Linked DNA regions of Macaca fascicularis. The protein of the gene in region 1 purifies or fractionates together with the protein of each later gene. This does not show direct contact. Links are inferred from orthologs where the notes say so. Each region holds a gene or a part of one and is shown on either strand. Other genes may lie near its edges.

Region 1 (3,741 bases):
AAAGAACAGTCACATGCACTGCCAGTGTAGTTGGGGTTGCACTCACACACACGACACTTGCAAACACCATTTCCTGCAATTAAGCATATCATTTCTCAAACTAATGGTAAAAATATACAATCACAGTATTGACTGAAAAGTAAAATAAGCAACAACGTGTGAGAAAGTATACCTGGGGCAGAACTGACCCTCGAGCTACCCCTCTTCTACTTATGCACCAAGTAAACTCTAGATTTTTTGTGGCATTAGATGAGATCACGTCTTACAACCACTTCAGGTCCTTTACTTACCTCCACAAATTAAGCCATTGGATCTATCACAGTTGAAATTATCACACTCGCAGAATTTGCCAGAATAAATTTCATTTGTATTATCCCTCTTCCTACAAACACACTGTCCACAAACGCACTCTCCATTGTTACTGCAGATTTCTGAACTGTTTTCTTTTCTGCAGTAAGCGTCCATGTCTTCACTGTTAACTTCATCTGTGCTGCATTCACAATGTCTACCAACACGCCCTTCGTTGCACCTGAAGAAACATTCCAAAATTGCAATCACACAAAACAAAAATAATTTAAGAGGTTCCAAGATGGCCGAATAGGAAGAGCTCCAGTCTACAGCTCCCAGCATGAGCAATGCAGAAGATAGGTGATTTCTGCATTTCCAACTGAGGTACTGGGTTCATCTCATTGGGGCTTGTCGGACAGTGGGTGCAGCCCACAGACTGTGAGTCGAACGAGGGTAGGGCATCGCCTCACCAGGGAAGTGCAAGGGGTTGGGGAATTCCCTTTCCTAGCCAAGGGAAGCTGTGACAGTACCTGGAAAATCAGGACACTCCCACCCTAATACTGTGCTTTTCCAATAATCTTAGCAAATGGCACACCAGGAGATTATATCCCGCGCCTGGCTTGGAGGGTCCCACGCCCACGGAGCCTCACTCACTGCTAGCACAGCAGTGAGATCAAACTGCAAGGCGGCAGTGAGGCTGGGGGAGGGGCGTCCACCATTGCTGAGGCTTGACTAGGCAAAGAAAGTGGCCGGGAAGCTTGAACGTGGCTCAAAGAAGCCTGCCTGCCTCTGTATACTCCACCTCTGGAGGCAGGGCAGAGCTGAACAAAAGGGAGCAGAAACTTCTGCAAACTTAAACGTCCCTGTCTGACAGCTTTGAAGAGAATAGTGGTTCTCCCAGCATGGAGCTTGAGATCTGAGAACGGACAGACTGCCAGCTCAAGTGGGTCCCTGATCCCCAAGTAGCCTAACTGGGAGACATCTCCCAGTAGGGACCGACTGACACCTCATACAGCCAGGTGCCCCTCTGAGATGAAGCTTCCAGAGGAAGGATCAGGCAGCAACATTTTCCGTTCTGCAATATTTGCTGTTCTGCAGCCTCCACAGGTGACACCCAGGCAAACAGGATCTGGAGTGGACTTCCCGCAAACTCTAACAGACCTGCAGCTGAGGGTCCTGACTGTTAGAAGGAAAACTAACAAAGAAGGAAAACTAACAAACAGAGAGGACATCCACACCAAAACCTCATTTGTATGTCACCATCATCTGCAGCTGAGGGTCCCGACTGTTAGAAGGAAAACTAACAAACAAAAAGGACAACCACACCACAACCCCATTTGTACGTCACCATCATCAAAGACACCCACAGTAGATAAAACCACAAAGATGGGGAGAAACCAGAGCAGAAACGCTGAAAATTCTAAAATCAAACACCTCTTCTCCTCCAAAGGGACACAGCTCCTCAACAGCAACGCAACAAACCTGGACGGAGAATGATTTTGACAAGTTGAGAGAAGACTACAAATGATCGGTAATAACAAACTTCTCCGGGCTAAAGGAGGATGTTTGAACTCATCGCAAAGACGCTAAAAACTTTGAAAAAAGATTAGACGAATGGCTAACCAGAATAAACAGCATAGAGAAGACCTTAAATGACCCGATGGAGCTGAAAACCATGGCACAAGAATTATGTGACACATGCACAACCATCAGTAGCCGATTTGACCAAGTGGAAGAAAGGGTATCATTGATTCAAGATCAAATGAATGAAATGAAGCGAGAAATTTAGAGGAAAAAAGAGTAAAAAGAAAGGAACAAAGCCTCCAAAAAATATGGGACTATGTAAAAAGACAAATCTATGTCTCATTGGTGTACCTGAGAGTGTTGGGGAGAATGGAACCAAGTTGGAAAACACTCTTCAGGACATTATCCAGGAGAACTTCTCCAACCCAGCAAAGCAGGCCAACATTCAAATTCAGGAAATACAGAGAATGCCACAAAGATACTCGAGAAGAGCAACTTGAAGACACACAATTTTCACATTCATCAAAGTAGAAATGAAGGAAAAAATGTTAAGGGCAGCCAGAGAGAAAGGTTGGGTTACCCACAAAGGGAAGCCCATCAGACTAACAGCGGATCTCTCGGAAGAAACTCTACAAGCCAGAAGAGAGTGGGGGCTAATATTCAACATACTTAAAGAAAAGAACTTTCAACCCAGAATTTCATATCCAGCCAAACAAAGCTTCATAAGTGAAGGAGAAATAAAATTCTTTACAGACGAGCAAATGCTGAGAGATTTTGTCACTACCGGGCCTGCCTTACAAGAGCTACTGAAGGAAGCACTAAACATGGAAAGGAACAACCAGTACCAGCCACTGCAAAAACATGCCAAACTGGAAACACCATTGATGCTAGGAAGAAACTGCATCAACTAACCAGCAAAATAACCAGCTAACATCATAATGACAGGATCAAACTCACACATAACAATATTAAACTTAAATGTAAATGGGCAAAACGCCCAAATTAAAAGACACAGATCAGCAAATTGGATAAAGAGTCAAGACCCATCAGTGTGCTGTATAAAGGAGACCCATCTCACGTGCAGAGGCACACACAGGCTCAAAACAAAGGGATGGAGGAAGACCTACCAAGCAAATGGAAAACAAAAAAAAGCAGGGGTTGCAATCCTAGTCTCTGATAAAACAGACTTTAAACCAACAAAGATCAAAAGAGACAAAGAAGGCCATTACATAATGGAAAAGGGATCAACTCAGCAGGAAGAGCTAACTATCCTAAATATATGTGCACCCAATACAGGAGCACCCAGATTCATAAAGTAGGTCCTTAGAAACCTACAAAAAGACTTAGACTCACCACACAATAATAATGGGAGACTTTAATACTCCACTGACAACATTAGACAGATCAACGAGACAGAAAGTTAAAAAGGATATCCAGGCAATGAACTCAGCTCTGCACCAAGCAGACCTAATAGACATCTACAGAACTCTCCACCCCAGGTCAACAGAATATACATTCTTCTCAGCACCACATCACACTTATTCCAAAATTGACCACATATTTGGAAGTGCAGCACTCCTCAGCAAATGTAAAAGAACAGAAACCATAACAAACTGTCTCTCAGACCACAGTGCAATCAAACTAGAACTCAGGATTAAGATACTCAAAACCGCTCAACTACATGGAAACTGAACAACCTGCTCCTGAATGGCTACTGGGTACATAATGAAACGAAGGCAGAAATTAAGATGTTCTTTGAAACCAACGAGAACAAAGACACAACATACCAGAATCTCTGGGACACATTTAAAGCAGTGTGTAGAGGGAAATTTATAGCACTAAATGCCCAAAAGAGAAAGCAGGAAAGATCTAAAATTGACACCCTAACATCACAATTAAAACTAGAGAAACAAGAGCAAACATATTCAA
Region 2 (3,841 bases), on another chromosome or scaffold:
GCCTCCAAAAGTGCTGAGATTACAGGTGTGAGCCACCACACCCAGCCTTGGAGATGAGAATTCTCTATTCCCATCACCCCTGCTCCCAGCAACCCCACTCACATCTGCCTGCATCCTGTCCAGGATCGAAGCAGTGTGGTTGTTTTTCGGGTAATTCTCCATCTGCTGCCGGAAGTTGTTATTAAACTCTGACATCACCTGAGGGTACGGAGGAGCACTGTTGCCGTCAGAATTCAAGCACCTGGGTCCCAGACCAGGCTGAGGCAGGCCCTTCCCATTATTCCCTGCTTACCTTATCTCTAAACACATAGCCAGCAATGGCTGCGGCCACCTCCACCAACATGATGAGAGACAGAAAGATGGCAAACTGCAGGAGCAAAGGACAGGAGTCAGGTTTGGAGTCTATGCATTACAGGGGCCCGTTCTGGCATAGCCGGTCCCTGGACACTCACAAAGGTCTTCCTCACTCACCCACCTCACCTCACCCACCTTCCTGAGCACCAACCAAGTTGCTCTGGCAGTCCCAGACCACCCATGTTAGTCCCGCCTCCCACTCACCGTGATCATAAGACAATAGTTCTCCTTGCAGGCCCCGCAGCAGCCCACAAAGGCCACGAGGAAGAGGAAGACACCCACTGCGATGATGACCACAGGCAACAGAGAGCCAGGGGTAGCCCCCTGGATTATGGTCTGACTCAGGACAAGCTGTGCCCCGACACCCACAGCAATCAGTCCCACTGCACAGGCCTAAGAGGAAAGCAGGTGAGAATTAGGCCTGATCCACAACACAGTGGTCCTCCATGGTGGAGGGCAAGGGGTACACCTAGGACACAGACATGACCCCATCCGGAGGAGAGATTCTCACACCTCCAGGGAACTTCTTTGGCTGTAGGTAAGGGGGATGACCCATCCTTTCCTGCCCCCATCTCCCTTGATCCCCTCCCAGCTCTTCAATCAGGGACGTGACCAAATTCAAAGACCTCCCAGAAAGCCTTGACCCCAAGGCACGTATTTCTGACCTAGAATAATGCTTTCTACGGGCCTCCAGTACTCCCAGCTCAATTCTCTCCCAGAACTGCTCCCTCACTATCCTCCAGTGCACACCCCACGCGCATCAGCTGTGACTAAGGTTCCTCTGGCCAGTTAAGCCAGGAGAAGGGAAGAGGAAAAGGCGGCAAGAGTGATGTGCCCCTCCCTAGACAAACAGTAGCCTCTCAAGCCAGGAGCCCAGGACAGGAGCAAATTGAGGTGGGCAGAGCCCTTCCTCGCTCCCAAGCGCTGGGAGGACAGAAAGGGGGAGAGGGACTGGAGAGGGATGAGGGGGTTGGGGAGGAAGAGAGGGGAGAAGGGAGAGCGAAGGGAAGCCTCGTGGCGATAGCATCAGGCGGTTGGCTGGTTGCCCCACTGCCCCATATCACAAGTGGTTGGGTCACCAGACAGGAAGGGCCAGGAAGGAGGGATGGGGGTAGGGGTTGCTGCACACCCAGGATGGCCATTCTCGGTGGAAACAAGCCTCAGGTGTCCAGGAAAACTGGAGGAGGGAGTGGCCGCGCTGTCTTTCCCTGGCTTTCTTTCCACATCTGGTCTCCAGCTGCCTTAATTCTTATTCCCTCAGCCCTCACCACTGTGGAGCCAGGTCTCCCCGCACCCTGCCGGCGCGCCCCCCAGGACCCCTCGCCACTCACGCAAAAGGCCAGCAGGAGGACGTAGAGCAAGAACTTCACACATTTCATTCCTCCTTCCACCGCCATGGCTGCCGGGCCTGGGGCAGAGAGGAGGGCGGGGGGATTAAAACTGGCCGAAGGGGGACCTCGGTTTCCGGGCTCCTGGCCGGCCCTCGAGGGCTTCCCTACACGGCCCCGATTCCCGGCCCCTCCCACCCGGAAACCCGCGGTCGGAACCACGTCTCCCAGCCCCCTCTCTACCCGCAGGAGAGGGGTGGGGGCGACCGCCGCGAAGCCCGGACCCCGCCCCGCCGCCTCTGGGGCCCAGGATAGATCCGAGGGCGCCGGTAGGGGCTCGAGCCTGACGCCGACCCTCGGCCCTTCAGTCTCCAGGCGTCAAACACCCTCTCCCCACCCAACACCCAGCCCGGAGAAACGGTCTTCAGCCCAACCCCGACCCCTGCCCCAGTCGCTTTCCCCTGGGCTCTGACCTCCCGCCCACCAAAAAAAAAAAAAGGTGCGGCCGGCACCCCCGCCACACCCTGCCCGGGCCCAGGGAAGTTCGAATCAAAGTTGCTCGAGGGCGGCTGGAGAGCGCCGGGCGAGTCTCCGCGGGCCTGGGGCGAGCCCTGGAGGAAGGGACCGCCGGTGGTCTCTCCCAGCCCGCGCCGAAGTCTGCCGGGGCCCCGCGGCCTCACCTGGGCTCCCCAAGGCTGCGCGCTCCTCTCCCGCCGCGGCTCCGGGGCTCTCTAGCTGCGCCCCCCGGCTCCCGCCCCGCCTGCCGCGCGGCCCCGCCCCGGGCTCCAGCCACGGTCCCCTCCCCCGCCCAGTGGCCGCCGGCCTCCCTCATGTGACGCGGGAACAGCTGCGGCCTGAGTCACTGGGCCCGGCGCGGGGTGGGCCGAGCCCCCCGCCCGGCCAGGGCCACGTGGCCCCTACCCGGAAGAAGGCGCCCACCCCCCGCAAACGGAGAGCCGAAAAGGCAAGACCTCGGGGCGCCTGGGGCCCCCCTCTGGCGCCCCGCCTCCGTGCCAACTCGGGGTAGGAGAGCAGGGCGGAGCGCAGCCTGGGTCACTCTGGTTTAGAGAAGCGGACGAGCTAGGTGAGAGTTATCCTCTGAGCGCCGGGGCGGAGAGCTGAGGCCGGGTGACAAGGTGGTCTGAGAGAGGTTTCCCCATCCTTCTCCAGTAGCCCAGCTCTCTCCTCTGGCTCCAACTCTGTGCAAGCCCCCTCCCCATCCGACTGTGCAGACAGCTGGGGACTGCCTGGGGTCGGGTGGGGCCAGAACCAACAGTTCCAGAAAGTCCCTGGCCTCACATCCTGGGTGTCTCCCAACATTCTAGCGCATTCTAGAGTGGGGATTTCTGACCCCCCTATATTAGCATAGCTTCTCCATTTTCCAGGGTTCCTAGTCTGAGAAAAGGGGAGGAAGCCCTTCCCCGAAGCCACGCTACCCAGTCAATCAATACACGTCCGCGTCGGGTCCCGCCCTCTGGGGGAGGATTGACAAGGTCTGCCCTCCCAACTCCCGGACAGCTCCTGCATCGTCTGTGATAGCGAGGGTTTGGGGGAAGACACGAAGGTAGAGGCTTACATCCTCTGGATTTCCTCGTCTTATCCCAGAAGACAAAGCCAGGTGAGGGCTGGAAGCGGGCTAGGGGGTCAAGCTGCCTCCCTCCCTTGTGTGCCAGGGGTAGTCTCCAGAAGGAGCTGATCTGAACAGGCCAGAAAGTGGGACCGGTCGTCACACCCCCACACCTCCAGCCTCGGACCCACTCCTTGGGCTCTTAGGGTCCTGCCTCAAGAACCACTTCCTGAGTCTTGGTGTATGTGTGTACACAAAGAAGGAAAGAAGTCTCTAGAGCAAAAGGAAGGAGATCCGGGCTGGGCTGAGAAGCATCTTCCAGGATCACGGCCTTCCTGTGGGACACACCAAGCCCATTCCGGACCTTGCTCTTCCTGACCATGGCGGGCAGGAGTGGAGGAGGAGTGGAGAGCTGAAGAAAGGAGTATTCGTCAGGTTCCTTATTGTGCTGCCACTAGATGCCAGGTATATGCTAGGCTCGGGGGCTGCAAGGAGAGGAAGACAGCGGCCCTGCCCTCTGCCAGCAGGCAGAACCAAATTCTGGCCACACTGAAGAAAGGCAGAAGCCTGCGGTGGCAGCTGGTTAAGTTCA
Region 3 (3,841 bases), on another chromosome or scaffold:
TCCACATCCCCTCCCTACCATTTACCCTGGGTAACAAGTTGAAGGCCACAATGTCTTTTCCTACACTGGCCAAATCTGCTCACAACAGCTTTTCTTTATCCCCTTTTTAAATCAAAGTAGGCTGAACACCTTTTCTCTGTCAGATCTGCTCTCGTCTCTACCCATTCCTTTCCCAGGCAGGGTGGCTTTGACCTGTGGCCCATGCAAATCCACAGTGACAGTGGCCTGGCCTCTCTCCCTCTAGCTGTCAAAGAGCTCTAAGGCACTTGAGCCAACCTCAGCCTGCAGATCACATACAATGCTCTGGCTGGCTTGGCTGCCTGCTCAGCTGCCGGCCCTTTCTCAGCAGCCCCCTGTCCGCAGTAGCCCTCCCATTTTTGACAGCGCTTCCCATGTGCTTGGTGCCTAGTGTGGGGATCTGGGATGTGTTCTTAAACCTCAGACCCTGAGTCTGCAGGACACAGAAAAATGTTCAGCCTGCTCTGCTTTAAAAGGGGAATTTGACAAGTGTAAGAACAGACACGCGGTCTTAAACCCAGCAACTGGAGTGAGAGAGGGGGATGTGGAGCTGGGAGAGAGCTAAGTGAGGGCTTTGAAATCTGGTTCTCTTGGAGGCTGATCTCCTGAACAACATTATTCTTAGTGGGATGGTCTCGGAGTCCCCTTTTCCGGGAATGCTTGAGTATTGCGATCCACAAATCACCCTTTTCCATCAGCCTCTGTCCAATACAGAGCAGTGACTCTCCTGCATAACTTCATGCACCGGCAACAGTGACCTCGACCTCCCTGCCTGCCACCCCTAAGGACGCTTAGGCTGGTGACTACACAATAAAATCAACCCCAGCCTGGCTGTCACCTGGGCCCCCACTGAGGCATGACCTTGAACGGGGGAACTTCCTGCAGCCTAACTCTCTCTCCTATCAAGAAGTGACCACTATGTGGCTGTTCATTCCCTCGGGTCCAGAGGAAGTGGCCAGTGAGGGCACCAACCTCCCCTTAGTGCTTCTCTGCTGGGGTTGGGCACAAGCTCTGTACCACTCAGCTTATGGTGCTTCATGGGGGAGGGCCGCCCCCTTCTTCAGGCCCACCTCTTCGTACTCAGGAGACAGCTGGACCCCTTGGCCTCTATAGAAACACGTCTCTCTCTTAAGGCTTCTGGTGAAGGTCTCCAGGTCGAATGGCCCGTATGAGATGAGACTCAGGCTGCCGCAAGAAACACCTACCTGACCCACTGGCGGTGTCACTCGTAGGTGCTCCCTCACCCTCCTCTTCCCTATATCCCAGGAGCTTCTCCGCTTCACTTCCACCCAGGGTCTTGTAGGGGCGGGGTGGGAGGGGGTGGCTCTGGGCTCCAGTGCGCCCTAAGGGATCCCAGACACCCTGTCCCTGGGGAGCCCCACCCCGCGCAGCGGCGCTGTAGAGGCTATACTACTTCCTCAGGGGTTCCCCAAAATCGGGGAGAGGTGCAGCTCCAGTGCCCCGACTCCTCCAGGCCCTGCGAGGTTCAGGAAGCTCACCGGGCCAGCGGCGGCCACTCGGAGGCAGAGGAGCCAAGTTACTTTGCGATCCAGAGAGCGAAGCCGAGTCTGGCTGGGCGGCGGAGAGACAACTCTAGCGGCTCTCCCCGCACGCTCCGGGCTGGGACCCCGGGGAGGGGCCCGGACGCCCCCGTCCGCCTCCAAGCGCCGACCCCGACCTCAGAGGGCCCCGGACGGCGTCCTCCCTTCTCCCGCCGTCCCCCCGGCGGCCGAGCCGCGCGCAACAGAGACATTTAAATCGCCCCCTCGGGACGGCGGCATGGAGGAGGCCGGAAAGGCGGCGGCGGCGCTGGCCTGGGGACCAGGGCGGTGGCCGCGCGGGCCAGGGTCGCGGAGCTGGGCGGGCACTCACCAGCGCGTGTTGTCGTGGAAATGCTCCAGAACCGCGTAGCCGAAGAACGAGTCGGCGGGGCCCTGGAAGTGCACCGGACGCTGCGGGTCGAGGTTGTAGGCGCCCGCGGGGATCCCCGCGACCACCAGCGCCAGCAGCAGCGCGCGGAGCCCCCCGGCGCCCCTCGGCGCAGCCGGGCCGCCCATCCCTAGCCGGCCGCCGCCGCCTTCCCCTCTGCCCGGCGAGCAGGGCGCCGAGCGCGCGGGCCGCGGGGTCAGCCGACGGCCGGGAAGCTCCCCGGGGCGGGAGCTCTGCGCCTGGACACGGGCGGGATGCGGGCGTCGGGCCCGGCACCGGGGCGCGGACGGCGAGCTGAGCGGGCGCTGAAGGCGAGCACAGGGACGGCCCCGAGCGGTGGGCGTCCTCAGTCCGCCCGAGAAGTCTGCGCGAGCGGGTCCCGGGCCGGGCGGCGCTGGACTGCGGAGGGGCGCGCCCGCAGGGTGGGCGGCCCGGGCGGCAGCGGCTGGACGGCGCGGCAGCGCCCCCTGCGGGCTGCGAGCCCTGCGCGCACTTCCCGGGCGGGAGTCAGCCTCGGGGACCCGCCGAGGCGCCGGGAGCTGCCCCCTCCCCGCCGCGCACGGGGCGCTCGGGTTCCCGGAGATAAAGCTGCTGCCCTCCGCCACTACAGGCTCTGCCGGCCCTAGTGGGCCTGTCTCCCTGTTTTTGTCTCTCTTTCCCTCCCTGTCTCACAACCAGTAAGATCCAAAGCAACCCCGGTGAAAGACAAGTTCAGACTCCAGATTCTAGCCCTGCGCATCCTCTGCTCCTTCACCCAGTTGTGAGATAAGCTGTAGGAGCAGTGCTCAGTAAACGCCCGCTGTTGTTGTTCATAACAATAGTAGCCACGTGGAAGCGAGCAGAGCACCCCTCCATATTCTAGTCACTTGGTCTCATACACCAGTGATTCCCTAAGTGTGGTGTCTGGACCAGCAGCATCAACGTCATCTAGGAACTTGTCAGAAAAAGCAAATCCTCAGGTCCCACTCAGCTCTGCTAAATCAGAAGCTCTGTGGGTTGGAATCCAGCAGGGTCTGCGTGCACTCAAGGGTGTGTGTGTGTAATTGTAAATATGCATAAGAGAAAGTCTACCATCTTAACCATTTTTAACTGTGCCGTTTGGGGGATTAAGTATATGCATGTTATGCAACCATCACCACCATCCAACTTCAGAACTCTTCATCTTGGAAAACAAACTTTATACCCTAAACAATAACTCCTCTTTCCCCCAACCCTACCCCCATCCCCACCACCAGCCTCTGGCAACCACCTTTCTACCTTCTGTCTCTATGAACCTGACTACTCAAATTCAAGATTCCTACTGAATTGACTGCTATCATGTTGAAGTCTGACCACACTCTTGTGGTTTCCCTGCCTGTGTTCTCTTCTTTCCACTTTTTAATTCTACAACAGAGTTTGGACAATGGTTAAAAACTTCCTGTTGCCCCCCACCAGCTACTCCTGCCTATAGGATGGAGCCAGGTCTCCTTAGCATAACTTCAAATGGAGGCTCCATCTGTTTCCAGCCCCATTTTATGCCCCTTTCCTGACTCACTTCCCACAGACCCTACAATGTATCCACACACAACTTCTAGCTGTCCCCTGAATGTGTCCAGCAGGGGTTTTCACACACGTTGTGCCTTCTCCAACACTTCTTTCTTCCTGAAATGTGTCTACCTAGGATTTTCAACTGGCAAAATCCTATCCATCCTAGACTTCCAGTCCAGTTCTCGCCTCACCCTTTCTGTGCCATTTCCTCTGCTCCTTTCTTCTCTGAGCTGCCAAAGAGTGTCCACATGCCTCTATCTCGACACTTAGAACATGTTAATCATTTTGGGGGCTCTCTTTCCCTCTCTATAGACGGTACAGCTCTCTAAGGAGAAAAAAAATCTTAGATATCTTTGTAGCCCCCAAC

What was found.
Region 2: the proteins of ITGB1 (region 1) and CD63 purify together in Homo sapiens (affinity purification with western blotting; 3 studies listed by BioGRID and IntAct, with this or other methods). This does not show direct contact. The link is inferred for Macaca fascicularis from reciprocal best matches to the Homo sapiens genes ITGB1 and CD63.
Region 3: the proteins of ITGB1 (region 1) and ITGA9 purify together in Homo sapiens (affinity purification with mass spectrometry; 3 studies listed by BioGRID and IntAct, counting the BioPlex papers as one, with this or other methods). This does not show direct contact. The link is inferred for Macaca fascicularis from reciprocal best matches to the Homo sapiens genes ITGB1 and ITGA9.

The regions. Positions count from the first base shown.
Region 1 is NC_088383.1:33,663,709-33,667,449, forward strand, and holds part of ITGB1 (integrin beta-1), read right to left. Parts: intron 530-3,741; coding exon 291-529; intron 74-290; coding exon 1-73.
Region 2 is NC_088385.1:62,512,493-62,516,333, forward strand, and holds the start of CD63 (CD63 antigen), read right to left. Parts: upstream 2,416-3,841; 5' UTR 2,363-2,415; intron 1,763-2,362; 5' UTR 1,752-1,762; coding exon 1,686-1,751; intron 748-1,685; coding exon 559-747; intron 368-558; coding exon 293-367; intron 199-292; coding exon 103-198; intron 1-102. UniProt on the Homo sapiens protein: Functions as a cell surface receptor for TIMP1 and plays a role in the activation of cellular signaling cascades. Plays a role in the activation of ITGB1 and integrin signaling, leading to the activation of AKT, FAK/PTK2 and MAP kinases.
Region 3 is NC_088376.1:99,480,504-99,484,344, reverse strand, and holds the start of ITGA9 (integrin alpha-9), read right to left. Parts: upstream 2,314-3,841; 5' UTR 2,076-2,313; coding exon 1,891-2,075; intron 1,411-1,890; exon of another isoform or gene 1,224-1,410; intron 1-1,223. UniProt on the Homo sapiens protein: Integrin alpha-9/beta-1 (ITGA9:ITGB1) is a receptor for VCAM1, cytotactin and osteopontin. It recognizes the sequence A-E-I-D-G-I-E-L in cytotactin. ITGA9:ITGB1 may play a crucial role in SVEP1/polydom-mediated myoblast cell adhesion.